Linked DNA regions of Coturnix japonica. The protein of the gene in region 4 interacts with the protein of the main gene of each other region in a biochemical or structural test. Links are inferred from orthologs where the notes say so. Each region holds a gene or a part of one and is shown on either strand. Other genes may lie near its edges.

Region 1 (7,851 bases), on a different chromosome or scaffold from region 4:
GATCAGAACTCTGTATTTTGTGCTGGGTCAGAGATTTGGTTCACTCTGCCACCTGGTGACAAAATGCAGGGTGACAGCCTCAGGAAAATGGATTTCCAATTGCCCACAATCTATTGCTCAACACCTTCTGTCTTAAAATGCCAATTAAAAAATTATTTTGGACAGAAATAATCTCTATGTTTTCTCCATGTCAAAAACCAGGAGTTAAAAAATATTCATGCTTTTAAAATTAGAACTTCATATCAAATATTATCAAAAGCGTGGCCTATAATCCATCAGGAACCTGCAGAAATGGATGGAAGATGCAGACTTTACAGTCCAGAGGGAAATATCTATGCTCAGCCTTCACATAATCAGAGCTACTTCAAACAGTCATAGCAGCAACTGAAGAAGAAACAAGTCTGGTTCTAAGATAAAGAAGATACCTTCCTATTCCCATTTATACTAACCATAATAAAACAATCCACACAACAACTGCTACTTCAATATTAGACAAAACAATGTTTAAATTAAAGAAAAACCCAATGTGCATCTCAGTGTATGAGCAGAATTACTACATGGAAAACGGAGCTTTCTGATCTGAAACACCACATCATTAATTTTACAAGGTTAATAATCAGAAGAAAGTTTTGTCCAGAAGTGAAATACGAAGTCACTCATCTGAAAGAAGGCAATCCAAATTTTGTACATGACACACAATAACCTGATGCTATGAAGAACTTAATATTTTTCAGGGTATAAAAAGCAACAGAGAATAAATGTATCCGAGAGCAGAAATAACCTGTTTAGCTTATATTCAGCCTAAACAAAAATAAATTAAAGAGTTTAATGTACTTACCACTTGTTCTAGCTTTCCTGATGCTAACTCTTCCTGAAGCTTCTGAGCTTTCAGTGTACGCTTGGCCTGAACAGCACACAAATGCATTTGTTTTAGTATTTCCTCTTAATAGTAAGCATGTAGTAATATCATAAGCACTTATGACCACTGCCACTTAAAATCTACTACAAGAAAATGAGCTTTCATTTCTCTGGGTGCTTGTAAACAAAAAAAATCAGCAGCCTGAAGTTAATCTCCTCTATGCTTAAGACTCATCACATTGTTTTTAGAGACCAGAGGGAAGGACGCTATACATTAACTAACCATCTTACTGTTTTATGGTATTCTGATAAATAAGCAAGTTTACCACAGCTCATGCAGCTGTACCGTTACTATGTGCAAACTAATTAAAAAAATACAGCTTATTTTAGTTCAGCAGCGCTTGAGAACAAAGGTGTTTTACCACAGTGTCCTCATAACGTAGTCAGGATTTCAATAGTTAAGGTATTTCATTGAAAGATAGTGCAAGCATTTAAAATTCAGACAAGAATCATGACATTTTAGCAATGGAATTTGTATTTTAAAGCAGCACAAAGTAGGTTTCTATGTGTATGACATCACAGAGCCACAGATACATGTACCAACAGCCACTGTTCCACAAGAGTAACAAAAGGACTTTGGATAGTATCTAATAGCTTAGAAATTAACTTTTTGCCTACAAATTAATCCACACCTTTGTCAGTACATTATAGGGCTTGTCTAGCAAAAACAAGCAAATAGGAGAGACAGTATGACAGATCTATACTGAGATCTGAATTCCTCTATTTCTAGTTCTAGTGCAGTCTGCTAACACAGCATACAGCCTGTTTTTCCATTACTGATGCAACACAAGACCTAACATTATCAGTGTGCAAAACAATCCACCCTCCTCACAGCGTATCCAAATGCTTCATTTTTCCACGGTGAACTGCAACACCTACATACCAAGTCAACCTTGGCATACTCTTCTACAATCTTCATGTGCTCTTCTGGGTTATAACCATTCCAACGATCTCGCTTTCCATCGTAATCAAACATTAGCTGAGGCTGCACGTGTTCATCTGGTGCAATATTCATGCCTGTGTATTTAGCTCCAACTTTCCTGGGTCTCTGGAAGTGAAATACATACAAAAAGGTTGGATCAGTTGGTCCAATTTAAACATACATTGAGACACCGCTCTTTAAGAATGGCATCAGTAGAGCTCTTGTAAAGCCAGTTAAGCTTAGCATGATAAGCCATCTGACTTGTAAATAAATTCAAGAAGTTCAGTTCTGTATTTCAAAATAACTAAGTAACTGTTGTTTTACCTATAGGGTAGGCGTTTTTCACTAAATTCACGTTTACTTCTGAACCATTAAAATATCAACAGTGTCAAGCTTACCTCCATACAGTCCTTCTTTTTGTGTGTCAGTGCACCACAGTTCTCACAAGCTCCTTTCCGGTATCGGGTAGCTATAGAGTGCTAAACAACAAAAGAAGACAGCGTTAAACATTAAACAAACACATGCTAAGATTCATCTGTGTATTTCTCCCAGCTGACTTATTTACTTTTCTAACACAACTAAAGCACACATGCTCCAACCAAACTCAAAAGGCCATTTAGGTGACTACCAAACACTGGGTAATGAATCATAGAATCATAGTATCACCAAGGTTGGAAAAGACCTAAAAGATCATCCAGTCCAACCGTTCACCTATTACTAATAGCTCCCACTAAACCATGTCCCTCAACACAACATCTTCCCTTGAACACTCCCAGGGTCGGTGATTCCACCACCTCCCTGGGCAGTGCATTCCAGTGCCTGACCACCCTTCCTGAGAAGTAATACTTCCAAATGTCCAGCCTGAATCTCCCCTGCTGTAGCTTGAAACTATTCCCTCTGGTCCTATCACTAATGACACGAGAGAAGAGGCCGACCCCCAGCTCACTACAACCTCCCAACATAACTCAGGAAGTTATGGAGAGCAATGAGGTCCCCCCTGAGCCTCCTCTTCTCCAGGCTGAACATACCCAGCTCCTTCAGCCTCTCCTCATCTGCTTGCTGTGTACAAATTTCCAGTTCCTGTCACCCTCCAAAGCATATAACCAGATCTTGCAGGGTGTCACTGACTTATATCTTATTGCATAGGAATAATTAAAAGCTTTGTTTTAGGACAAAAGCATCCCCATACCTCTTTCACTCCCCGTTTGTACCAGTCTCCTGAGGAGCTGTACTGCTTCTGCTTCTCTGGCTGAGGCCTCTGATGCTTTAGCGTAGGTCTTTTGGAAGGATCTATGTACCACGGGACCGAAGATATGTACTGAGGAATGTGAGGGTTGATATCTCTGTAAAAGGAGATATGAAATTAATACACGGCACAGGAAAAACCACCGCACAATTTAGCTTAATTAACCTCATGTTAAGCTCAGCTTCACAACTCTGTAACCACATAAGCCTACTTTACAAACCGAGCTGTGTTACAGAACTTACTTTCCTTCCTCATCCACCTCAGCAGGCGCGTTCCCCAGCTTCCTCTGCTCCTCCAGCTCCTTCTTTTTCCTCCAATCCTCCCTCGTCATCTTCTTCGGCTCCTCCATACTCACATCTCCCGGCCCTCCCGAAGGAGCCGCGTTTACCGCCGTCCCAGACGCCATTTTACTTCCTCCTAAAACACTAAAAAACCGCACGCGTTCCGAACCGAACCGATCCCACGAGCCTCCCCCCGGTTACCCCTCATAGCCCAGAGCCTCCACCCAGCCATACCGGGCACAACGACCACCCAACACCCCAGCAAAGCCCACCCGGTCCCGCACCTCCACTCCCTGTTTACCAACTAGGCCGCACCGAGACCCCGCCCCTTGACTGCCAGGGCAACGAGGAGCCGGAACTCGGTAGTCACCAATGGGGCGGCTGAGCGTTAATCGAAAGCGGCCTATGGGAGCAGCGGGGCGGGTGTAGAGGCTGGTTGTGCTTATCGCTATCCCTGCTCTTCTCCTCGCTCTGCTGCTCCCAAATCGGCTTTTCCCGCAGGTAAGTGTGCTGTTTTTCCTCCATGTTTTCTTTCTGGCCTGTTGAGCGATCCTTCTGCCCTAAAGAAGGGCGGGCCTGCGAGGCGTTGCTTGGCCGCCCAGTGCACGGTGCCGTGTTATCAACCGCCATATCTAATACTGGCCCTGTGCTCAGTCCAAGCTGCCATCATCATTCCTAGCATACATCAAAAACTTGCTGTTTCTATTAGCAAGAACTGCCAAGATCTTCTGTCTGCCTTTCCAGGGTGGTCTCATCAGCCCAGAGATGACGACGCTGATCTTTGTGGATAAGGAGGATGGTGAAGTTGGTGCTACTAAGAACCAGTTAAGACGCCCTTCGGTATCATGTGAGTATATGCTCCATGGAGACAGCGTGGGATGGAGTAAAGTGCGTGTCCTGGGTTTTGTTAATCACTGTTTTGAACAGGAACAACAAAATGGGTTAAGCAGATAAATAGTAAAACTAAGTTTATCAGCTATTACAAATATGAAAATCACCTGTCTTTTGAGCTTATACTTTTGATCTAGAAGTGGAGAACAACAATTAGCTTTCTAGCACACACACTTCATTAGAAGCAAGCTTTAGGGTTGACAAGGTGCTAAAGCTTGCTTTCCTTTCCTGTCTGCAGCAAAAGCCTTATCAGAAAGAACACAAGTCAATACTCCACTTCTAAAAAAAGCAATCAGAACTCCAGCCACATCTCACTCTGTCAGAAAGGCTCTTGGAAATGTGAACAGAACTGTAGGAGTTACAAGCAAGAAGGAACAGAAGAAAGATAAAAATCAGCCTTGCAGTGCAAAGAAAGTGAGTACAACCCTTCTGTAATGGATGGGAATCAGAGGAATGCATGATGTACCTACAACAGCTTAGGGAACACACAAGGGCAATGAAGTAACTCTAGACAAAATATTGGCTGTGTTACTGTCTTGTTCATATTCTATTTAGTGGGAGTTTATTGTTATGAGCCTAAATATCATACTGCAGAGATTTGTTGCCACTGTGTACCATCATACAAGTTCAACTGAAGCATTTTCCCTTTTGCAGCTTATTTGTATCAAAGGTGTTAAAATCCAGGTTTACAGGCACAGAAAGGGTACTACACTGAGAAAACACGACAGCACAAATAACTTGACTTCTTCATTTTAAGGTTGCTGAAAAGGCTGTTGGATTAGCAAGCTGGGATGGAGGGGGTGATGAAGCTTACCCAGAAATAGAAAACATGTTTCCTTTTGATCCTCAAGGTAAGAACTCTTGGGGTAATTATTAAAACCTAATTGGACTTTGATTAAGTGTTGATGCTGCAAGACTTCCACTGAGCTGTTGTGGTGACTAAGCTGGTATTACATTTCTCCAGAGTCCTTTCTTAAACATAAGGGCATTCAATATTTTGGAAGCATGACCTTGTTCTTGTTTGAGTGTTTTAAATATACGTATTGCTTGATATAGTTGACACAGCATAGGGATTAGAAAAATTCCTTAAAACTCTTGCTTTATAATGACTGTTACATACACTTCAGATAAGCATTAGCATACAAAATTGCATGGACACTAATAAGTAACTGTAACTAAGCACTCCATAAGAAGGAACTGTTGGACTGAGTTGTCCTGGAACTACTCCCATTTCACTTAATCAAGGACAACTTGCAGCTTCACATGCTATTGTGCGCTGTTACTAAACTACAGCGTGTCTTTCCTAAACAGACTTTGAGAGTTTTGATGTTACTGAAGAGGATAAACTAAGTGATATCAAGCTGCGTGGTGTTCCTCTCATGATATTCCCAAGTACTTATGACAAACCTGTGGACCTAGCTTCTTCACCTATAAAGCTTGAAAAGATGCCATGGGAGTCTGGTAAGTGGAAAATTAGCCTGAGGTTCAGCGCATATTAGTGATTTAGGAAGGAAGTGAGTTTGTTGCAGTAGTGAACAACTATTGCTCTTGTAAGTGCAAGAGCAGGATGCTTATCTCAAAGAGCACTCTGTATGTAACTGAGCTGAATTTAACTGGTCATCTCTACTGGCATGGGTAGTGGTCTCGAAGCTGCACTGCCATGTAACTTTCTGTAATATATTTCTAACTCATCATAGCCATTCAAGAGGCTTATGCTAATCCACCAGCAGCCAGCTGGAGTGTAAACTTCTGGATTTTATGAGTAATTGATCTCCTCTATTTCTAACTTTCAGACTTGCTAGAACCACCTGCTGACTTCATCTCTACGCTGGATTACGTCATTGATATGCCGCCTATGGACTATGACTTCTAAAAAGCATACTCTGAAGTTTCTGTTGAATTTTATGTTTATAAATAAAGGTTACTTTAACTTGTGAAATAAAACTTACCTTGCTTTTTCTTTCAGTAGAGCTAATATGCTGCACACCCAAGATGTAGGCATTTTACTATCTGACAGGCTATTAAAACAAAACTTAGTCTTGCTTAAAAGCTCATCTATAATTCAGTGTTCTGAACTGTATCCAGATATTAATATATGAATCTTCAAGTCACAAGTATAGATTCAATTTCTTAGCACTGTTATTGTTCTAGTTCTTTTCAGTAATCATGGAAAACAAGTGAGGTTTAGAGGTGGCATTATTCATAGTTGCCTGCTGTTACCACAGTGGATAAAAGTTGGTTTGAGGTGCTTAATGAAAGCTGGAATATGGGGGCCCTCACTACAAGAAAGACAGGCCCTAGTGCACAGTCAGAGAAGGGCAACAAAGCTGTAGGTGGTCTGGAGCACAAGTTCTAAGAGGAGCAGCTGACGGAGCTGGGATTACTCACACTGGAAAAGAAGCAGCTCAGGGGTGACCAAACCACTCTCTACAACTGCCTGAAGGGAGACTATGGTGAGAAGGGGGTCAACCTCTGCTCCCAAGTAGCTAGCAGTAGGACAAGAGGGAATGGCATCAGATTGCTTCTGGGGAGGTTCAGGTAGGACATTAGTGAATGCTTCTTCAAGAAAGAGGTCAGGTGCTGAAATGGTCTGCCTGGGAAGGTGGTGGAGTCACTGTCCTTAGAGACCTCCAAGAAACATTTAGATTTAGATGTTGTAATGAGAGATGTGGTTTAGTGGGAATTACTGGTTGGACTAGGTGATCTCTGAGGTCCTTTCCAACCTTAATGATTCTAATATACTATTCTATCTTACTGCAAGTTTTTATGATGCTTGTATATGCATAGTAGTTCAGATATCTACTACTATAAACAGCTGCTTAAAGTTCTGGAAAAAGAAGTAATATTTAGTTGCAGTGGCTGTGTGAACTCACCCTTGTGAGAAATGAGAAGGAACTGACAGCAAATGGAAGTCCTTGTTTGATATCTACAACTAAATTTTTAATTCTTAAGTTAGTTTCCAAAGCAGTAAAAAGCCAGTTCAGGAAATGTAATGCTGTAATGTGGTGGAAAACAGCAATGAAAATGGGGTAGCAGAGTCCTAGGCTGCAACAAACAAGGACAAGCCCAAGTGCAACATCCATGAATGCAAAAACAAAGGAGAAAAGAAAGCTGCTCACCTTCAGAAGGCCTCACAGAAGCAGAAATCTCCAGCAAGATGCACTTACCTCCACTGCAAACCCTTAAATGAGATCTGAGGAATCCTGGTCCCACCCCTTCCAGTCATTCGGTTTCATTGCATACACCTGAGCTCTACCTTCCCACCAGGTGCTCAATCACTGCTTCAGGCCATGACTTAGCAGGAACCATAGCTATTAATGTTTGCTATTCTTGCTGGGCTGCGTGCTAGTGGTACACAGGGTGTTGTTTAGTTAAGCATTGTGTGTCAGTAGAACCTACAGTTCCTATTATTGCCCTCCCTGTGGCTGTCTGACTCATCTATCACCTAGGTATGAGTTCTCCATCTCACTTCCAGCATGCTAAATATTAAGTGCTAAGCATTCTGCTGATGTTCTTGCAATACTCTTGAAAGGCTGCTTGGACTCTGTGCTTTCTATGTTTGTAATTAAGGTCCTCGTGTTCTGTAGGCTGTT
Region 2 (7,185 bases), on a different chromosome or scaffold from region 4:
AGTTTGGTCTTTAGATGTGGCCTTTATGTTTCACATGGTCTGGGGCTTTCCCATCAGCACAGGTGCCTTTGAAGATGGATCTTCTCATCACAGGGTGAAGCAGGGGTTGTTGCTGGTAGTCCCCCTTTCCACCCAGAATAGGTGACCTTCCTTCTCTTTCTACAGGCCAAGCTGCTGTTCTCAGATGGCAAAAAAGTTGTGTCCAGGTTGCCCCACGAGCAGATGGGACCAAAGGTAAAAGTTGTTGTTCATGGAGGATTAAATGATTTGTAAGAGCTGGGAGGAATAGAATGACGGGGTTGGAATTATCTACTAGCTGTGCAAGTGAGGAGGTGGAGCTGGGAAATGTTTGTCTTGTGGGGAAAGTAACTTACAGACCAGTGCAGACCCCAGGTGCAGCATCTGAGTGCTTTGCACTGCTATGGGCTGCCTGCAGAGTTTGTCTGTGCCCTTGTGCTCTCTGCCTTAAGTCAGCAAATGAGAGCTGCAGGCTGTGTGCTTGGGGCCCTGCCTGGCTGGGATGGGAGAAGGGTTTGTCTCCATCCTCCCACCATTCCTCTTCCAGCGTGCCCGACAGATGGATGAGGAATTGAATCGTCGAGGAAGCCCCCTTCCCAAAAAGGTAGGAGGGTTTTCCACATGAGGGATTTTATGTTTTGGGAGATCTGTTCCTTGCTCCTGTTACCACAGTATGAGCATGTGCAAGTATGAATGGTTTTTGTGAAGGCTCAGAGGTGCTTGTTCTCATGCTGTTGTTGTGCTTGTGGTAGAAAGAGCTGCTTCTGTAGGATGGAACAGATAATCAAAAGGGTCCTTTCTATGTGCACAGTTGAATGACTGAAGGATTTCTTCCATGCAGAGAAAGGGACGGCCTCCAGGACAGAGCCTGTCAAACGATCGTGGGGTCTCAGGCATGTCTGCGTGAGTATGGGCCTCAAGCTGCTGCCCGTGCTTTGGGGGGGCAGCGGGAAACAAAACTGCCTGAAGTAAGGGGCACCAAAACCTGCAGTGTCCTTCCCCCTGCACAAAAGAGAGGTGTAGGGGGGGATGGCAAAGGGCAAGAGAGTTTTGGCTGAGGTTGAGTCACAGGAGGCAAAGCCTTCCAGGGAACTGTTTTAAACAGGGCCAAAGGATGTGCAGAACCAGGTGGATGATTCAGTGAGCTGTGTGTGACACAGCTGCTAACAGGGAACACAGCAGAGATGGGGCTTCAGAGAAGGTGTGAGAGGGTGGATCTGGAAAGGCTCAAACTCAGATTCCTGCCGCTGGGAGCTTGTGGTGTCTGTCTGCATTGATCTTTCTAGGACCTGTTCTTATTTCACTTTCCTTCCCTTCAGGTGGAAGCTCAAAGTCTCTGAACCTGTGAGAAGGGATGGACCAAAGGTATTGGCTGGCTGATGCTGCTGGGCTCACCCTCTCCTCCCTTCGCTTCCGCTAGCAGAGCCCTGCCTGCAGCGGCAGCACAGAACAGACCTAGGTTGTGCCCTACTCTGCTGAGTCTCTACAGTGCCTGGAAGCCTTTGCTTGCTTCCTCCAGGCACTGTAGCTCTGTGGTGTGGTGCAGCTGTTAGGAGACATGGGGAGAGCCTTAGTGGTAGCCAGGAGGATCCCACAAAGCGTTTCCTACAAGGGAAACAGCTTAGATCAGCCCAAGGTGGTGCAGTTTCCTTCCTCTGTGGCAATCCAGAGGTTTGTGGCTACCTCCCTCCCTCCCAAATCAGTTCTTAGGTTCCCCGTCAGAGAGCTGAGGCTCGTGGAGCATTGGCTGGCACCAGCTTCATTTCTAATGTTGCCCCTTTTCCAATTGCTCTGTAGTGGGATCCATCCCGACTGACTGAAACCACAACCTTTGTGCTGGGATCTCGAGCAAACAAGTAAGGAATGGCCCTGTTGATGGAGGGTGGTGTCTCCCAGGCAGGAGCCCGTAAGACTCCTCCCGTCACTTCACTTCTCTGCCTCGAAAGCAGTAGGAAGGGCTGGGGCCTGGGGAGGAGAGGAGGTGCCCCGTGCTGCTGCAGGGCCCCTCTGTCCCAGTGTAACACCCCCTTGTGTTCCTTTTTCAGAGCTCTCGGGATGGGAGGAACAAGAGGGCGACTCTACATCAAGCATCCCCACCTCTTTAAGGTCAGATACCACAGCAGGATGCCTCCTCCTTTGGGGTTTGTTCAGAAGCAGTTTGTGATGGGAACTGGGTGTGTGCGCTTTGACTCGCTTGGCTTTTCCTCCCCACGCCCCATTTGTTGTCTTAGAGCACGTACACACAACCTGGCCAGCACACTGAAACACGTTAATGGTAGCACAGCCTCTCAGGTGCTGGTTTTGCCCAGAGTCAGGGTTTTATTTGAGAGCAGAGCAGGCAGGGCTAAGCCCTCCCTCTGGGAGCCCCCAGCACCGTGCTGTGGGGGTGAGGTGCTGGCAGCAGAGCACTGGAACGGGCTGTGCCCCGCAGGAGGGTGGTCCAGGTGGGAGGTCTGCGTCCCGTGTTCAGCCAGGTCCTTGCTGCTTTATTGCAGTACGCAGCCGACCCGCAGGATAAGCAATGGCTGGCAGAGCAGCAGCACCTGAGGGCCACTGGGGGCAAGATGGTGAGTACGGCCGGGCTCGTGCCCACGACAGCCCAAGAACTGTGCGGAAACCTGCTCAGGATGGACAGGGGCGGAGGAGCAGAGAGGCCAGGCAGCGTGTGGGGCAGGGCCACGAGGAGGACAGGCAGAGCAGGGCTGGGCCGAGAGGTGTTTGCTGCTCCTGGGGTTGGGCAGGAACGAGAGGCAGCACTGCAGGGACAGGGGGCAGAGCTGCCCCGTGGGCACCGCGGGCCCCAGCAGAAGCACAGCGCGTGTCTCGCCCTGCTGCAGGCCTATCTCCTGCTGGAGGAGGACATCCGCGACTTGGCGGCCACTGACGACTACAGGTGAGACCCCGGGCTGTGCACACGGGGGGGTCACCTGGATGGCTCCCTATACCGGGGACCCCATAGAGGCCCGGCCTGCCCCCGGGACCCCTCGGCCCGCACTCAGCCCATTCTCCCTTAGGGACTGTGTGGACCTGCGGCTGGAGGAGCTGAAGCCCTTCGTCCCGCCTGCCTGGATGACGGAGAAGATGCAGAAGTACATGGAGACGCTTCGCAACGGGGGGGACCCGCCGCCGCCGCCCCCCGAGATCCACCCCGAGGCCTTTCCTGAGGGTCCGCCCGTTGGACACCCCGAACACCCCGAGCCCTCACACCCGGCCCCGGCCCCGCAATAAAAGCCGCCGCTTCGCACCCGTTTCCACGCCTGGTGGGGATTTGGGGCGCGGCCCCTTTAAGGGCTCACGCTCCGGGGTGGGAGGGGGAGCAGGGATCTTCTGCGCATGCGCCGTCCCGCCTCTTCCGGGTCCACCCGCCGTTCTTTTAGCGGCCGCATTCTGGGCGGTGTCCGATTGGTTGGTGGGAGCGGAAGTGCGCGCTGATTGGTGGAGGAGGAGCGAGTTTGAAACATTCAAAACGGAGTGCGGGAGCGAGGCGGAACGGCGGGCGGACACAGCGGGAGCGGGACAGGAGCGGACCGAGACCGAACCGGACCGAGAGCAGAGGGACCCCACGAGCGGCCCGGAACCGCCATGGCCTCACAGAACGCCGACCCCGCCGCTGTGCCCAGCGCTGCGGCCCGCAAAGGGGCTGAGGCGGGAGCGACGGCTGCACGGGGCTCCGTGGGGAAGAGGTGAGGCCTGGATCGGGACCGGACGGGCTGGGCCGGGCCGGGCCGCCCTGCATTGCCCTGCATTGCCCTGCCCGGTGCTGTGCTGTGCTGTGCCCGGTGCTGTGCTGTGCTGTGCCCGGTGCGGCCCGTAACGCGTTGTCCCCGCAGGCTGCAGCAGGAGCTGGTGTCGCTGATGGTGAGTGTTGTTGTGCTCGGTGTACTCGGGGTTTGGGCCGTGCCGTTGCTGTCGGTTCCGTACTGACGGTTCCGTCCTGATGGCGCTGCCCGCAGATGTCCGGCGATAAAGGCATCTCCGCCTTCCCCGAGTCCGACAACCTGTTCCGTTGGATCGGCACCATTGACGGCGCTGCGGGCACGGTGAGACCCGGCGCGGTGACACCCCGCACGGTGAGACCCCCCCGCTCCCCCCGCCCCGCTCTAAACTGCCCCCACAGGCCTACGAGGAGCTGCGCTATAAGCTGTCCCTGGAGTTCCCCAGCGGGTATCCCTACACCGCGCCCACCGTGCGCTTCCTCACGCCCTGCTACCACCCCAACGTGGACGCTCAGGGCAACATCTGCCTCGACATCCTGAAGGAGAAGTGGTCGGCGCTGTACGACGTGCGCACCATCCTGCTGTCCATCCAGAGCCTGCTGGCAGGTGGGTGTGAGCCACGGGGGCTGCGGGCACCTCTGACCCCCCCCATCCTCATCTCCCCCTTCTGACCCTGCCCTTGTCCTCAGAGCCCAACATTGACAGCCCGCTGAACACACACGCTGCTGAGCTGTGGAAGAACCAGGCTGGTGAGTGCCCCCAGGATCCCCCCCAGCTGTGGCGGTGGCACAGCCCCAACCTCAGCCCGCACCCCCCCTCTCCCCACAGCCTACAAGAAGTACCTGCGGGAGATGTATGGCAAGCAGGCTAAGAACCAGGAGACCTGACCCCCACCACGCCGCCCCCTTGCCCCTATCTGCTGCGCCTTTCTGTATTATAGGCTGTTTTTAACTTAATTCTGGAGTGTGAGCTACGGTTAATGTATAAATAAATGCATGTCTATAAGTTCTTCCATCTGCTTACACGCATTGCGCAGCTGGGTTACCTGCAGTGCTGTAGATAGGGGGGCTACAGGGCAGATGGGGGGATGAAGGGATGCAGATACACATCAGGTAATGCGGGGCTTTATTATTGCCCTGCAGTTGGCAGCTCGTGGGGCACATGGCTTCCCATCTTCCTGAGCCAAGTCAGCCCTGCGCTTCCTGCCCCCCTCTCACAGCACCCTACAGCAGGACCCAGTGCCAGGCCCTGGCCTGTGGGATGTGGGCTCTGTGCCCTCCTCTGGCCCCACCACATGCATGGATTCCACCGTCCATAGTGGGATGTTGGCCGTGCTCTCCATCTCCACCATCATTGCCCTCACCTGCTCCATCTCCTCCTCCAGGCATGGGGGAGTTGGGGGCAGCTCGGGACCCCCACCTCGCCACCGCCCCAACCCAGTGCGCAGTGGGGTCACACCACCCATCCCTGGGGAGAAGGTGCAGCAGAGGTGGTGGGCACAGCACAGGTCCTGCAGGAACAGCTCCAGGGCAGAGAGGAAGAGCACCCACAGCCGCTCCAGCTCTCGCTGCTCCTGGGGGCCCACAGCTTGCTGCAGCCACGCCAGCAGTGCGCTCTGCAGCCCTGCGGGATGGAGACACTGAGTGGGCTGCAGCCCCTCTGCTCAGCCCCTGTGCTGCCCGCTGCACGGACCCTTACCGACACTGAGCTCCCGCACCTCCACGCTCCTCCTGCGCCGCTCCTCACGCAGCTGGGGGCCATCAGCACTGCCCCCCAACTGCAGCACCAGCTGTCGGTGCCCCGCTGCCGCCTTGCAGAGCGCAGCCTGGGTAGCCACACACACCCCTCGTGCCCCGCAGCCTGAAGCAGCCCCTCTCCCCGGTGCCATCCTGTGCCACAGGGACTCAGCTGCTCAGTGGCTCTGTGGGGCAGGGATGGGTTCTGAGCTGGGGTCCTGCTCAGTGCCTGTCCTGTTGCTCCCGCAGGCACTGGGTGTTCCCTGTGAGCCCCGGCCCAGGGCACGTCCCAATCTTGGCACGCTTGTGGCTGTGCTCCTCCCCAGCTCCAGAGGCTGCACGGAGACACGGGTCCCCAGGGAGAGCTGGCACCAACCAGGCTGGCTTTTCAGCATTGCCTTAATCCCTGTGCAGAGGTGTGGCTGCTGTCTTGAGGTTTGGAGGGTTGGGAAGCAGTCCCCAACTTTTCGTGTCAGGATACCCCATCCTTTCAATCAGAAACCTAAGCAGTGCTTGGCCCCCTTCTCTCCCCCTTCCAAAATCCAGTGTGGTCACACATCCTGTGATGTGAGCAGGAGCAGCCTCCCAGTGCTGCCTTCTGGGACCCTGGGAGGAACAGGGCTGTGCTCCCTGCTGCTGCTGTCGTGGGAAGCGAGTGCTCCTGATGGAAACTCTGAGCTCAGCGCTGCCTGGCGCCCACCCAGCAGCCCATGGGAACCACTGCTCACACACTCACAGGTCAGCCCGGCTGGTACAGGGTATGGCACGGCATTGCACACACCCCCGTGTCCCCCTCCATGGGGTACAGTGCCACAGACCCCCCAGGCACTCCCATACTGGCAGCTCAGCCTTTCCCCCTTTTAATGAGGTTCATCCATAAACCACATCTGTCAGAGTCAAGGAAAAGCTCAGCCGCCAGCCGAGTGGCACGAGCTGCTGCAGGGCTCCAGCGGGTGGCAGCGAGGCCAGGCTCTGCGGCGGGGCCAGTCCTGGGCGGAGGAGCAGGGCTGGCTGCTGCAGGCGGCCCAAGGAATGTCTGATCCCTTACTGCACTCCCTCCATCATCTTCAGGAACTCTGCAAGAGAGCGGCGTTATCAGACCCAGCTGTGCCACACACGCAGCCCAAAGGGGCTGAGCAAGCTGCAGGGTGAGGTCCTGCCGCTCACCATCGAAGTCAATGCGACCATCATTGTTCTTGTCTGAATCCTTCATGAGATCTTCTATTTCCTCCTCGGTGACGTGCTCCCCGGTGGCCCTGAGAATCTCACCCAGCTCTTCGATGTCGATGAATCCATCAGCGTTCCTGTGGGAGAGGAAGGGCAGGATACGGCCCCGCTCACCACCACGGACGGGTGTCACCAGGCGCTGCCCCACTCACTTGTCAAAGATGCGGAAGCAGTTGGCCAGCTCCTCCTCTGACTTGCCCTTGGCGTCCTCTTTCATCTGGCGCACCATCATCACCAGGAACTCCTCGAAGTCGATGGTGCCGCTGCCTGTGGGGAGGGACCGTGATGTGGGTCAGGCTGAGCACTCCAGACACCCACCACCCCCATGGAGCCCACTCACCATCCTCGTCCACCTCCTCGATGATGGCGTCCAGCTCCTCCTTGGTGGGGTTTTGGCCCAGCATCCTCATCACTGTGCCCAACTCCTTGGTGCTGATGTCCCCACCACCGTCCGCATCAAACATATCGAAGGCAGCTTTGAACTCTGC
Region 3 (7,371 bases), on a different chromosome or scaffold from region 4:
ATGGATCCCAATATAACTTTCCTTTTAAAATCTGAGATTTATATAAACATTGGCTTATATAAAACAAGTTACACTAAAACAAGTTATAACCTGGTGTTTGTTGGATTTGAATTGGCTTGTAGCTCCTCTTCTGGATTAGTGTGAATTGGTGTTGGTTTGTTAAATACAAAAATCTTAGCATTAGATGCTGCAGGTCGCTACTCAACAAGACACGTTTAAAAATCTACATGGAGCATTCTGTATTTTACCTGTGCAGGTACTTGGGTTAACTATTTTAGTCTAGTTGAGTATGTATTAATGGAATTCTCATGTAATCAGCAAGGTTTGTTATTCTTCAGACAGTAGCAACAATTTATAAAGAAATAATAGCTGGTGGTATTTAAAATATTGATTGAAGATGGGAACAATCTTTCCATGACTTTAATCGTTTGACAGTTGTCAGCAAAATCCCAAGGATGCATGTGATTTTCCTTTTTTCTTTGGGGGAAAAGAGAGAGAGAGAAGGCTTTGCTTTGCAGTTGACCTTATATATATCAATATATAAGGATATATTTCAGTAACAAAAAAAAAACTCAAGCAAGTAAAAAGTTCTTCCAGCATCGATCTCATCTCTATCTCCTGTAAGTCAGCACACTCCAGGAAAGGGTAAGAAGTGTGTACTCCTTTCTCCTAAAGTCTAGTCTGTGTAGGATGACAGTTAATCAGTTTATCACAGCTGTCTGCTTTTAAAGGGAAATGTGGAGAACATAGGAGACCCATTCAGTCTTTTGGTGGAAAAGCTGCTTTACGTTTTCCTCTTTCACATAGAACAAAAATTGAGCTTCCTATTCAGGCTGCTGAAAGTAGGATTTCCGCACAGAATTCTAATGATCTCATAGAAACCCTTCAGCTGGAAACCAGATAGAAAACTTCATAAAACTTCCTGAACTCTGAGTTGCAGTTTTCCAGGTGGCCTTTCAAGTGCCTTAGGGGGTGTCTGGTGGGACCCTGGTGCAGCTGGTGTGGGGAAGGTTCAGTTTCTCCCCTGCAGATATCTACATGAAGAGCCATTTTGCTTTGCTAGCAGGTCGGCCTTCAGTTACACACACGTATGTAAGTAGAAAGTTGTTATAATCCCTTAGAGAGGTAAAGGTAAACATCCAGTTCTTCCACACATGGTCTTTTTTCCAGGTCACCTGTCTAGTCCCGTCCTGTTGTTCCCTTCTACCATCCCCCAAAATCTTCTCGAAAAGAAAATCTAATAAGGAATTATTTATCCTACATGCTCATTTTTTGTTTTACTTTGCTAATGTATGTAATTATTTGTTAGATGAGGTACAAGGCAGTATTTCCTACATGTGCTTCAGCTGAATCCCAGGGAGAACGTGACGTTCTACTCCTGCTCAGGTAATGGCAGTGCTTTCAGGTACCTGCCATCTTCAATGTCCAGTGCCAAAACCACTTCATCATGCTTGACTGGTTGCAGCTGGTTTTTAAGTACAGCAGCATAATTGACTGTGATTTGCAATACAGAGACATCAGTAAGAGGTGCTTGTGTGCTTCTCAATTCAGTGAGAAGCCAGATTATTTACAGGTACCTAAGTAAAGGAGTTTTATTTATAGAACGCTGAAAGCTAGTTCTGAATAAAATGCAGTTATGCAAACATGACTTCAATCCTTTCCACTTCAGCTGGTTGCTTATTAGGTCTGTCAATGTTTTCAGTTCCATAAGAAAAATAGAATAGGAATATTTCTTAAGACAGTAGAAAAATACAGTGTTTAGGGATGTTACTGATGCTACCCTTACTGCTTTCTCACTTGTTCAGTTGTAACGATTAAAGATGTGTTAGAGATCAGTGTTAATGTAAGAGTTATTTCTAGCAGTAGAGTATCTTCTCCATTTGTTTGAACACCATTAATAGTCAGTGACTATGTGGGGTTCTTCGTGGGGAGCAGAATTAGCAGGAGGTACATGCAGCTCATGGTGCAGTTGAACTGGGGGCTGTGCTGTAGGAAAGGAGAAATGAAATGTGAGTAGTACTCACTTGGTCAGTACTTCACAGAAATGACTCTTTAGTTGTATGGATAAAATACTTTGAACGATAATTGGTTGTTTCTGTCCTTAAAAGTGACTCTAAAATTGTGCATTTTCCAGTGTCTTGTCTCATCACTTCAGTGCTAAAATTCATTATGTAGGTAAGGTTGGGAAAGCTTTTTCAAGAGGAACGAGGAAGGGGAAAAAGTGTTCTTGTAATAAAGGCGGTGTATGGTTATGGAGAATTAAAACTTGATTTTCTAGATGAAAGTTGCTGGAACAGGAAGCATCATCTTGCTTTGCTGTGTACAGTTCGTGACAGATGACCCACTTTCCTGGCTTTGGAGTTGCTGGCACAGGCCGAAAGCTCTTGCTATGGTCGTTCTGTACTTTGCTGAAAATCCTGCTAATGACAAGACTGGCGCGGAAGAAAATTATGTGGTGTATTTAAATGCTATTGTCTGATTAACAGTAGCTTGCAGAGAGTTGCAATCTCCTAGTTCGTAGCACATTCACCTATTTTTTCAGCCCTTTCATATGCTGCCTGCCCTTATGATCTGTGTTTGGAGTAGGAGGCTGTGTAGTAAAAGCGGCCCTCCCTGAAAAACTGCACGAGTCCTTGCAGCGTACAAACCAGGCATCGTTTCAGGGATGAGAGGAGTTTGTGAAAGTACAGTGTGATGCATACATTCAGTGGTTGCTCACATAGGAATATGCTTTGCTGTGCTAGATAGAAACGTTTGGGAGCAGTACGAAATAAATCTGCTGTACTCCTTTCTGATCAGTGCAGTCAAGAGCAGTATTGGATTGTGCACACGCCTGTGGTGTGTCACTTAACATAAGGGCAAACTCATTCAATTAAATGCTCACATAGTCTTTAGCTACGTGTAATGCTCACCTCTGAGTGTTGTTTCAAAAACTTGAGTGGGATCAGTGTGAAACAGGGTTAAAGCAGTGTTGAAGATGTTAGAGAAGTACAGAATGGAACCTGCTGTGCCATCGGACTCTTTGGTTGGCTTGCTGAGTTGATTTAACTTCCCATTCTCCCCTCTCTTTCTTTTGTGTAGTACAAACAAAATCCAGAAATGTTTAAACAGACAGCTCGACTTTGGGCACACGTGTATGCTGGAGCACCAGTTTCTAGTCCAGAATACACCAGAAAAATAGAAAACCTTTGTGCTATGGGCTTTGATAGGGTAAGTATATACATGAGGTCTCTCCCAATCCAAGGTGTTCTTGAACATTTTTCAGTGGGGGTGGGGCAAGTATATATGTGGCGATAGGGGGAGCCATTCGGATGTTGAAGTGAAACTCACTATTTCTGCTCTGTTTGGCAGTTCGATCATAGGGTTTAGCTACAATCAGAGTTCTGAGGGGCTTCATTATTGGTAGATCATGAGTTCCCCTCACCTCTTCTCAAATATGATTAGTTAAGACTTGAGTGAAAAACTAACACACTCAAACTGATAAACCTGCAAACGTCTCATTTCTCGGTCGCAGGCTCACGCACTGGAAATGTTACTGTTTACCTGTTTGTTTTCTCATTGCAGAATGCAGTAATAGTGGCCTTGTCTTCAAAATCATGGGATGTAGAGACTGCAACAGAATTACTCCTGAGTAACTGAACCACATAGAGAGCTGCTTCGGTTGTCCAGCTTGCCCCTTCTGGAGGAGCATCACCATCTGTTATTTTTAGGATTCTATATAGATTCTCTTTTAAAACTGGCACTCTTGCCTGATGATACTATCTAGGCACTATTGGAGACTGAAAAACCGCTCTGTAAATAAAGCTAATTAAACGTCTGTGTAAATTTAAAAAGGGGAAATACTTTAATTTTTTTCTTACTAAATATTGTAAAAATTCTTTGAGCTCAGCTAAAATAATGGGGGAAAAACATGCCTACTTTTGTGTTTAGCAGTGTGGCGAAAACTAGCAGGAACTTTCTTCAGGATTTTGATTTAGTAATTCAGAAAGCCACGTTTTTGAGTGTTAGTCATCAAAATTGTTGGTGCCGCTCATCACAGCTATCTTACTGTTCTTAACATGGATCCTTTGTGCCTGTGGATTGACCTATATTTGCATGCTTGTACTTAATAGACGTATTAGGTAGGGTCGCTGAAGAGAGCACCATTTAAATACTCGAGTGTTCTTGTACCTATTTTCCTGAAAGGCTGAAAAAGATTTACCCAAAGTTCCAAATGGTGACCTATTCAGAACCTTTTTCTTTGTAGCTTATTAATTGGGAATCCAGATTCTCTTCTCCCTTACGTCATGCAGCTAAGAGCCCTCCCTAGATTATTCTTCATTCTGTTGGTATTGTGTGCCATGTATGGTAGTCTAGGCTCGCCTATGGAGAACATATTTTGAATTATCGACGATTTTCATCCATCATTGTATTTTCTACGCACCTGGCAAGGGTTTGTATGCCTTGATACAGCACAAGAATGGAGCTGGTTTTCTTTCCTTTTTGTTTTCCTTTTCTTTTTGTCCAAAGTGGATGTAAAATGTTCTTCCGTGTATCTTGGATAATATGACTTCACTGGATTTGAAGGAGGAAAAGTTAATTCTCTGGCGTACTGAGAATTATATTTTCTTTTGAGTACTTGATATGATGCAATCAGCTGTTTTTTGCAGCAGTTTTCTAGCTTTATTTTGGGCTTCAGTTTAAGGATTGCTTTCCAGGTACTTGAAAACTCATCCTTGCTCGCGTTTTTCTCTAGTTGACACATGGAGGCTGTGTTGGTGTTTTTACTGTACATACTTCAAATGCACATAGAAGTTTGTTCTCAATTTAGCTTTCTTTTGGATTGATGATGTTTCTGATAAACGAGAACTGAAACTTACTTTGGCTTGTACATACAGTCAGTCGTCTTATTCGTATTAAAATGACATTTCATCCTGAGTGCAAAAGCTTGAAAATTATTAGTTTTGCAACTTCAAACACCAGTACGTCTGTGTAAAGAGAACTGTAATGCCTGTACGAATACGATGCAACTTGTGAGAATACACCTGACAAGGAGTTCAGAGGAATCTGAGAATAGAGCGGGGATTGTCAGTGCAGGAGCACGTAACTCACTGTCTCACAGCTGTGTCTTTTCCCGAGCAGTGTATGAATGGGGGCGGGGTGGGGAGGCGCGTGGCTGGTTGGGATTTTCCTTGGACTATGAAGTACAGGCCGAAATGGTTCCACCCTTTGTAGAGGTTTGTTTCCAAGTTGTGCTGGATGAGATCAGGAATGCTGCACCTGATCAATGTCCGGAGCATAGTTGTTGTGGAACAGAACCAGAGAACAGAGCCGTGCAGACCCAGCTTCGGGGATGTGCTCCCAACTCTTCTGTCCCATGTGTCCAGGATTAAAGTATTTTGGGGCATGGACAGTGAATACTTGTAACTCATATCAGTGCAATACTAAATGCATTTGCTTAGTCTTATACGTAACTGCTTTTTGAGGTGTAGTCAGTGATGACTTTTCTTGGATTTTCTGGAGTTAGTGTAAATCATTCTCGAAGATGCCAAAGGAAACAAATTGCTTTGTCTTTCTTTATAGTTATTTATTTTTTTTAAACAAGAAGCTGCTACTGTTCTGCTGGTTTGTGAGCTGAGAACCAGGGGGCGGTAGGAAACCGGCTAAAGGCCACTAGTGTTAGCCTCAAATTGCTGTCTGTTCTGTTGTACAGGGTAAGAACTTGGTTACATCAACCTTTTTTTTGTTGTGTTGTTTTATCCTGGTGGTAATTATACATTGCTGACTACTTTCCTTTGCTCTTCGCTGCTATTTATCAAAAGAAGGGGTTCTGAAATTGTTGTCAAGGGGTATAAAACTTCTGCTGTGGGCTTCTGAACGTGTCTTGATGAGATGGGTGTTCTTAGGAGACCAACTGGAAGCATGTGTCTGGAAATACCCAGATTTCCTCAACTGTGTATAAAGGAAGAAGAGTGGAGGTGGTTCTGAGGTGGTCACGGTCACCGCTGAAACAACACCCCGCTAAGTTTTATTTCTCTTGTGAAGTTACCTCATTTTTGTCTCCGTAGAAGAACGCTCGTCTACCCCTTTCCCCTTCCATGTAGCTGTTGGACGCTGTGTTTTGCCCTCCATCCCCACGTGCTTTACAGCAGAGATACCTCGATGCTGGCTCAGGTGCTGGCTGAGGGCGGCTTAAGGCCTGAGCTGGGAAGGAGAGATGACCAACAATAAGGAGACATCAGTGGGCTGAGTTCTGATACCAGTCCTTTGTAAGGAGTGGTTTTGTCTTCTTGATAATTATCAGAGTTGAATATAGGAAGGAGGTTGTACAAGGTTAGTTTGGCTGCAGCTGGGGCTGAGCCCCGGGGAGTTTACTATCAGCATTCAGCTCACTGAGCTTGTTCAGAATGCGGATCTGTTATCTGTGTGAGCATCGCCACGTTCTGGGCCCTACGTGTTTGCCAGCGCAGAGCTGCACACAGGTCACTGCTGCAGGCTCAGGATGCACATTTTCTGCTTGCTTAAAACAGGAATGTTAAACGTGGGGACAGTTGTTTGTACAAATAAAGCTCGTATCGTCTTCCTTCAGTATTTAAGAAAGCAGCTTGAACACTTATTCTGAAGTGGATGGCCCAGTTTTTCTAAGCAAGGTGTTGCTGATGGAGCGCACAGATTTCCAGGCATCAGGTCTCACTGCTCAGTGTCTTAATGTGCATCTGGTGAAGTGGCTGCTGGGGAACCAGCACCTCCTGTCTCACCCGCTTCCTCAAAAAGCAAAGTCTAATTTTGCATGGAGATAAAGGAACATCCCTTTGTCGCCAAAAGCCCGTTTTCCTGCCAGTGCCAAACTCTTCTCTCTGGCCTCTGCTCCCCCTTCCAAACTGGCAGCTTCCTCCATTGTGTCTGTGAAGGACCAACGGAGACTTTTGAACAAAACTTAGTACTGGATCCTTGCAGAAAGTTGTGGCACGTGGCGCTACTGCATGTACCAGGCTTCCCCTTAGCAGCAAGATGAAGCCAGTGCCAGCTCTGGGTGTGAGGGAGCAGCTTTATGGTCAGGCTGGTGCCAGCTGGGCACTGTGCTGTGCCTGGACCAGGAGCTGGCTGCAGAGCTGGGTGCTCGAGGGCTACAGGGCTGCTGTCTGTCTTCTTTCAGGTTAAACAAGAGTTAAACAGGCAGGAAGGAGCTCACCTGGTGGTGCTGAGCCTGCAGTGGGTGGTGTGGGGAACAGGCAAACTATGCAAATTTAAGCTTAATGGCTGTGAATCAGACTGTGCGCTTGAAGGCCAATGGAGTGCTGATTTAATGGGAGGGGGAAAATCAAACCTGAAACATAAATTCAGGCAAGAGTTCTTGTTTACTGCATCTGTTAATGTGAAATGTTCGGTTTG
Region 4 (6,478 bases):
CACAGGTGGCAGAAACAAACAGGATTTCATATCCACCACTTGAAGGGTGCTTGTATACAGCCAACAAAGTGGCCCCAAGGTATGCTGACCTGCTCCTCTTCCCAGGGACATTGCCAGTCTGTATAAACTGAAAGCAGGAAATCTTCTACTGAAGAGCATCGTTTACCATCACGAGCGATGGAAGGCTGCAACAGTGGAGCCACCCATTTTGTTTCACAGAGGCTACATCTAAGATGTACATCTGGGGACATCTCACTACTTTGCAAGTTTATACCTACACCCCACTCTTCAAATGTTTGAAGCACACAGAATTGTCAGGTGTCCAAAGCAGACACCACAGGCTGCCTTCCATATCACCTGCAGCAGAGCCCAAACACTATTCCAGCCATCTCTATAATTCCTATCCAAGCATTTGAAAGGAGCATATAAATATTTTCACTTCTTAAGCCAGCTGCACTTTATGCAAGCCTGTCAGTGAGTTTCTCTACTGTGTCCATTTACTAAACATGAACATACAGCACCCAACAAGCTTTCTGGAAGACAGCACCACATGGGAGGAGAGGTGCTCCATCACATCCCTGTCCTGCAGAGAAGCTGGAGCCACAGCACCACACATACTCCTACAAGAGCAACGTGAACGAGGCTCCCACCAAGCCCCTCATTCCTCAGCACTGAGCTGAGCAGAACCATATTAATGACACAATCAGCACAGAAACAAAGAAAACAATCAGTGCAGCTTAGTGGAAAATTACGGGATGGGCAGTAACAAAGAGGTACAAACCCATTAAGTCAGCTTTGCTGCTACATATAATATACACAGATGTTTGTCTGCTCCTGCAGTTCAAGCCAACTGTGAAAAGGAAACATTCAACTGCCACACAAAACACATTAATTCCTTACATTGAGATAACTTTACAGATTCACTTTTACACGTTTGGGCCTGATTACAGCAAACAGGAAATGTATATCAACTGAAACTAAACTCACTTGAGGAAAAAACAGTGGTTTTAAGTGCATCGCTCAATAACTAGGTGACCTAAAAAAGCTCACTTCCAATACTCCTGATGCAGACAGGTTGAACCGGAATGAATTAACAGAAGAAAACATAGAAGTGATTTAGTTATTTTTTTCTAGAGGAGATGCAAGGACCAGAAACCATCCAAAGCTCTTTGCAATGTGACTAAGTCAGGAAAACCCTTCAGATTGGATGCTCCTTGGATCTGCAGATGTTTCTGCACAACTTGTTGCCCACAAGTAAGAGCAGCCCCACAGCTGTGACTGCTGTGTCACAGGCACAGTGACTGCAAACAGCCTGCACCCAGGGCACAGCTGGAACAAGGGATTGAGCTGCAGCTGGTAACTCAGCTAGAACATTTATCTGTCATAAGATACATGTGGTAATTGTGGAAATGACAACATGAGCGAGCAGGTACCCCCTCACAGACCAGACTTCTCAATATCACTGGTGCTTCTATAAGAACACCTTGAGACTGAACAAAACTTTAACAAAAAGTACATAAACAGGTACTATGAAAACAGCGCCAATAGATGTATATATAGAGCTACTGAACGTCTGGAATTACACAGACCTTAAAAGCTCACACAGCCTGTGCTAAGCTCTGCAATCACAGCAGGACTGAGCGAAGGCAACATCCCCCCCACAGCATCGTGGTAGAGATATTTCATATGTGATTACCTACAGCTCCATAAAGACTGGGACTCTTCTGAATCCAGCCACTCCAACTGCTCAGCTCAGAGCCCCAGCAGTGCGTGAAGCAAAGGGCCAGGCACCGTGTGAAGGGCCCTTCCAATGGGAGCAGGGCCAGCAATGCTCTATGGCCACCCCCAGCACCCAGCACCGATGGAATGAATGAAACCCCCCGGGAACAGCGCCGAGCCCGTACCTGGATATCCGCATCTGAGACGCCGAAGTCCAAGTTGGAGACGAGCAGCTTCCCGCCGGTCTCCACCCCGGCGCCGGCCCCGAAGCCGCTGTCGAACAGATCGTGCTGCCACTTCTCGGGGAGCTGCTTCGGCTGGAACGACACGGACGTTTCGCTGAGCGCCGCCGGGTCCCGCCGGGACGGCTCGACCGCCGGCAACGGACAAAGGGCCGCCCGTCCCACCGCCCCCGCCCCGTCCACGAACCGCCGCCCCCCGCCCCGCACACCGGCCCCCTCCCTCCGGGCCCCGCCGACCGGGCTCCGCCCCCGCCCCCGTCCCGTACCCGGCTGTACGGCGCGGGCCGATTCCTGCCGCCGCCCCGGGCCATCACCGGCCTGTTCCTCACGGGGCCGCCGCCCGCTCGCCCGGCTCCCACGCCGCCCCGACCGGGCCCGCCCCCGCGGGTGACGCCGCCTCGGCCCCGGCCTCCCCGGCCGCCGCCCCGACCGCCGCCGCGTTGGCTTCGGTTGAGCTTAATGATATCGTCCAGGGACATGTCCATCTTGTCGGCCATGATGGCGGCTCCGCTCCGGGGCCTGCGCTTCCGGCCGCGCTGCGCCGACGCCGGAAGCGGAAGAGGCGGGACCGGCGGGCGGAGGCGCGCGTTCAGATTGGCGGGGCCTCGTGGGGGCGGCGGGCGGTACTTCCGGCGGGGCGGCGCGGACCGGAGAGCGGCACTTCCGGCGGCGATGAGGGTGAAGGTGCGGAGCTGGAGCGGAGTCGCCTCGTGGCTGTGGGTGGCGAACGACGAGAACTGCGGGATCTGCCGCATGGCCTTCAACGGCTGCTGCCCCGACTGTGAGTGCGGCGGGGCCCGGCACGGTACCCGGTCCGGTACCGGGTATGGTACTCGGTATGGTACCCGGTATGGTACCCGGTCCGGTACCCGGTATGGTACTCGGTATGGTACCCGGTCCCGTACCCGGTCCGGTACCCGGTCCCGTACCCGGTACTGTACCCGGTATGGTACCCGGTCCGGTGCGACCCGGCCCTTCCTGACTTTGTGTCCACGCCGCAGGCAAAGTGCCCGGGGACGACTGCCCGCTGGTGTGGGGGCAGTGCTCGCACTGTTTCCACATGCACTGCATCCTCAAGTGGCTGCACTCGCAGCAGGTCCAGCAGCACTGCCCCATGTGCCGCCAGGAGTGGAAGTTCAAGGAATGATCCTCCCCGCCTCCTCCCGCCGCTCCGGTCCCGGTTCCGTGGGCGGGGAGCGGCGCTTTCCCTCGTGCTGCGCGGCGGGGGCGGCCGCGGCCATAAAGACCCGGAGCGGCCGTTCCGCAGCGCTGCGCCCCCGCCGGCACGATGCGAGCCGCCCGCTGCCTGACTCTGGCTGTAGCCGTGATGCTGCTGTGCCGCCCCGCCGCGCCCTGGTACCGGCAGGCGGCCGCTCCGCTCTCCTACCCGGTGGGCAGAGCCTCGGGGCTGCTCTCCGGTCTCCGCCGCCTGCCCTACAGCCGCCGCTCCGACAGCAGAGGTGCCGCTGCTCCGCTCCGCACCGCGGTGAGTACCGGGATGCTCCGCTCCAGGAACGGGCTGGTACCAGGAATGCCCTGATTCCAGCAATGCCCTGATTCCAGCAATGCCCTGATCCCAGCAATGCCCAGATCCCAGCAATGCCCTGATCCCAGCAATGCCCTGATCCCAGCAATGCCCTGATCCCAGCAACGCCCAGATCCCAGCAATGCCCTGATACCAGGAACACCCACCTGCCCGGCTCCGCGGGCAGCCCTGCTCCAAAGTTCCCACCCAGGAATCTCTGTGATACTTTCCCCACAGGTGCCGTGTGTGATGGATGTGGACCCCAAGCTACGGAGCTGTCGGCTGCTATCGGGAGTCCCCGGTGCTCTGCAGTGCAGTGTGGCTGTAACCGTGTCCTTGGGCTCCACAGAGTGTGGGGGGGCCTGAGGTGGCACGGTGACTATAGTGACAATAAATGCACGTGGAATGGAAAGATGTTGTCTGTCCTTAAGGGGAGGGAAGCCTTTGGGGTTGGGGGGAGCCCACCAGGATCTGGGGCACACAGGGGTGCCCTGAGCAGCAGTGCCCACCCAGAGCTGTGTGCCCTCTGGAATGGGTGGGAGTTTGGGTAGTGCCACAGGCACTGGGGGATGGAGCACAGCTTGGGGCCCCACTGCTGAGCTTAAGGTGAAAAAAAAACAGTGCAGGGAGAAGGAATCCATTGAAATTGATCTTCCAGTGCGTGGAGCAGCCCAGCTCTGAGCACAGTGCCTGTGAGCAGAGCTGCTGCAGTGGGAAAGTCTTCCACATGGCTGAGGATGAATCCCCTACCCCTCCCTGCCATGTCTTCAGTTCTCTGAGTGATACAGGAGACAAATCTGAAGCTGGGGGGTGTTGTACAGGTCAGGGTAAGCCAAGCTGAGGAAGGATTTTACCCTGGGGTGGGAGATGCTCTGGGCTGAGGTCAGGGGAAGCCACACACTGACCCCCAGCAACACCAGCACTGCCACTGCTGAGACTCAGCCTCCAGGTTTGCACATCTACAGGAACTCATATCAGCACTGACACAGCCTCAGCCCTGCAGTCCAACTGTCCTGGTGGGACAGGGATGGTGCTTTTGGTTGCCCATGGCTGTTCACATCCCTGTCCTGCTGCCCCCATATTTGCCTGCAGCAGGCAAAGGCCCAGCCCCAGGGTGCAACCCCAGCCAGGGCAGCACACAGCACCCAAGCAGGCACACACAGGCCCTGGGGCCCTTGAGCAAGAGACAGGGCTGAATAGGCTGCAGACTGATCCAGCCCCATGCTGTGAAGGTGCCCCCACCCCATCGTGCACCCACGCAGGGCCCAGCACAGCCCCACATACCCAGCACTGCTGCCACCGCTCACAGCACTGCGCTTCACAGGGGTGGCTACTTTGGGATTGGTGCTGGAGCCGAAGTCCTGAGCTGTGCTTGGGAAAGGAAGGAAAAAGAACAAATAAAACAACAAACAAAACAAAAAAAAAAAACCACAAAAATATTTATTCACAGACTTTAAATTCATTTAATTTATTTCCTCATTTTTACTCCACGCTCATTTTTGCCCTTTGGGACTCTCAGGATGTGAGCAGATACAGACTTGAAATGAGAATTAAAAGGGCCCGCAGGCTCCCAAAGCGGGAGATGTCATGTGCAAATGTTTTGTGCATAGAAATAGCAGTGGGCAGCTGCACAGAACACTGCTCCACCACGCACCCATCTGAGCAGGCAAAGCTGAAGCTTCTTTGGTAATTAAATGACACCAAGAGGCACGTAACCGAGCGCCAGGATCAGAAATAGAATGGTTCTGTCAGTTTTTAATAACAGCAGTACTTGTGTTGGTGCTGGGGGTGGCTCATTGCATGTAGATGCTCTCAGCCTGGGGTCAGTTTGTCATTGAGGTGGAGGTGGTTGTGATGATGGCTGAGCTGTAGTGAGCCAGGGATCAGTGAGGCAGAAGCCCCAACTCTGAGAGCAGCACAGGCAGCAGAGACTCACTGGAGCGCGTCAGGCCCAACACTGGGGACTGGAGTGAACCCACTGCTCCCATCAGATGAGCTCTGGGAGAGGACAGGAGCCCCACAGTTCTCCCATTCCCACCCCATGGGGAGGCTGAGTGCTCCCACACAGGTGGATGGTTGGCTCTCAGCAGCACCTTGTGACAGGATGGACCCTGCAGGTCTCCCTGCACACCACAGAATCCCAACTGCACATCTATCTTATACAGCTGCCAAAGTGATGAGAGAAAAAAGAACAGCTTCTAGACAGAGTGACCCCTAACCCTGTGCCAAAACAAATCTGGCATTCCCACGGAGCTCAGCACTGCCCACTGCACTTTGTCTCCATGCAGCCAGTGAGATCTGGTCCATTCTGATCAGAGCTTCCAGAGAAAAGCCCCAGCAGAAGCACCTATAGGCCTGATATTACACCGGCACCCAGACTTGAGGCCCAAAGAGACCAACAGACAACTCTTCAATATTTTATTAATGATCAGCAACAGAAGTTTACAACAGAGGACAAAAGAATGGGCATGGAGGGATCGTACAGCACAGTGTGTGGGGAGGCCGAGCACAGCACCCTGGAATGTACGAGGCAGAGAAGGGCTCAGCCCAGTGCCCGGCTCTTCCCAAACCTCCTCAGGCCCCACAGAGCCCGGCAGGAGGCAAAGTGCTGCACTTCAACCCTCATAAAATAGCAGTGAAATTCCAGCCCACAGGGTCACTCCTCCCAGTAACATCTGTCAGGCACAAGGTGCGCTCTGGTGGCAGCAGCAAACACAGCCCCAGGTTGGGGAGGTCCACGGGGAGCACTGAGTCCTGCACATCTCACTGCAGCGAAGGATGTTGGTAAGAGCCCCCTGAGTGCTCCAGCCTCGTGCAAGAGAAACTCCTCATCTCACCAGGGAAAACACCAGGTCTGAGGGGCTCTGTGCCTCCCTGCCTCAGCAGACACCAACCTGCTGCCTGCCACCGGTGAAGCAAATGATTCACCAGCACCAGGCACAGCTGGAGAAAGGCTTTATTCAGTTAAACCAGCAGCAGTTTGGGTCTGGAG

Evidence for each region.
Region 1: of the proteins of ANAPC11 (region 4) and PTTG1, one has a biochemical effect on the other in vitro, tested with the Homo sapiens proteins (3 studies listed by BioGRID). The link is inferred for Coturnix japonica from reciprocal best matches to the Homo sapiens genes ANAPC11 and PTTG1.
Region 2: the proteins of ANAPC11 (region 4) and UBE2C form a complex in vitro, tested with the Homo sapiens proteins (66 studies listed by BioGRID). The link is inferred for Coturnix japonica from reciprocal best matches to the Homo sapiens genes ANAPC11 and UBE2C.
Region 3: the proteins of ANAPC11 (region 4) and UBE2K form a complex in vitro, tested with the Homo sapiens proteins (3 studies listed by BioGRID). The link is inferred for Coturnix japonica from reciprocal best matches to the Homo sapiens genes ANAPC11 and UBE2K.

The regions. Positions count from the first base shown.
Region 1 is NC_029528.1:9,900,249-9,908,099, reverse strand, and holds PTTG1 (securin), read left to right. Parts: upstream 1-3,748; 5' UTR 3,749-3,868; intron 3,869-4,111; 5' UTR 4,112-4,132; coding exon 4,133-4,214; intron 4,215-4,496; coding exon 4,497-4,672; intron 4,673-5,015; coding exon 5,016-5,109; intron 5,110-5,569; coding exon 5,570-5,719; intron 5,720-6,051; coding exon 6,052-6,131; 3' UTR 6,132-6,202; downstream 6,203-7,851. Other genes in the region: pre-mRNA-splicing factor SLU7, read right to left, coding at 839-904, 1,802-1,966, 2,239-2,319, 3,030-3,183, 3,329-3,492. UniProt on the Homo sapiens protein: Regulatory protein, which plays a central role in chromosome stability, in the p53/TP53 pathway, and DNA repair. Probably acts by blocking the action of key proteins.
Region 2 is NC_029535.1:9,479,939-9,487,123, forward strand, and holds UBE2C (ubiquitin-conjugating enzyme E2 C), read left to right. Parts: upstream 1-3,374; 5' UTR 3,375-3,600; coding exon 3,601-3,701; intron 3,702-3,848; coding exon 3,849-3,876; intron 3,877-3,971; coding exon 3,972-4,058; intron 4,059-4,135; coding exon 4,136-4,340; intron 4,341-4,423; coding exon 4,424-4,483; intron 4,484-4,562; coding exon 4,563-4,621; 3' UTR 4,622-4,743; downstream 4,744-7,185. Other genes in the region: DNTTIP1 (deoxynucleotidyltransferase terminal-interacting protein 1), read left to right, coding at 166-234, 566-622, 860-921, 1,338-1,383, 1,816-1,874, 2,064-2,124, 2,514-2,585, 2,856-2,911 and 1 more; regulator of G-protein signaling 9-binding protein-like, read right to left, coding at 4,948-5,357, 5,433-5,622; TNNC2 (troponin C, skeletal muscle), read right to left, coding at 6,515-6,546, 6,638-6,774, 6,850-6,964, 7,038-7,181. UniProt on the Homo sapiens protein: Accepts ubiquitin from the E1 complex and catalyzes its covalent attachment to other proteins. In vitro catalyzes 'Lys-11'- and 'Lys-48'-linked polyubiquitination.
Region 3 is NC_029519.1:62,464,700-62,472,070, reverse strand, and holds the end of UBE2K (ubiquitin-conjugating enzyme E2 K), read left to right. Parts: intron 1-3,081; coding exon 3,082-3,210; intron 3,211-3,564; coding exon 3,565-3,639; 3' UTR 3,640-4,925; downstream 4,926-7,371. UniProt on the Homo sapiens protein: Accepts ubiquitin from the E1 complex and catalyzes its covalent attachment to other proteins. In vitro, in the presence or in the absence of BRCA1-BARD1 E3 ubiquitin-protein ligase complex, catalyzes the synthesis of 'Lys-48'-linked polyubiquitin chains.
Region 4 is NC_029533.1:4,442,879-4,449,356, reverse strand, and holds ANAPC11 (anaphase-promoting complex subunit 11), read left to right. Parts: upstream 1-2,579; 5' UTR 2,580-2,633; coding exon 2,634-2,742; intron 2,743-2,962; coding exon 2,963-3,108; 3' UTR 3,109-3,249; downstream 3,250-6,478. Other genes in the region: ALYREF (THO complex subunit 4), read right to left, coding at 1,905-2,036, 2,228-2,458; NPB (neuropeptide B), read left to right, coding at 3,250-3,447, 3,724-3,852. UniProt on the Homo sapiens protein: Together with the cullin protein ANAPC2, constitutes the catalytic component of the anaphase promoting complex/cyclosome (APC/C), a cell cycle-regulated E3 ubiquitin ligase that controls progression through mitosis and the G1 phase of the cell cycle.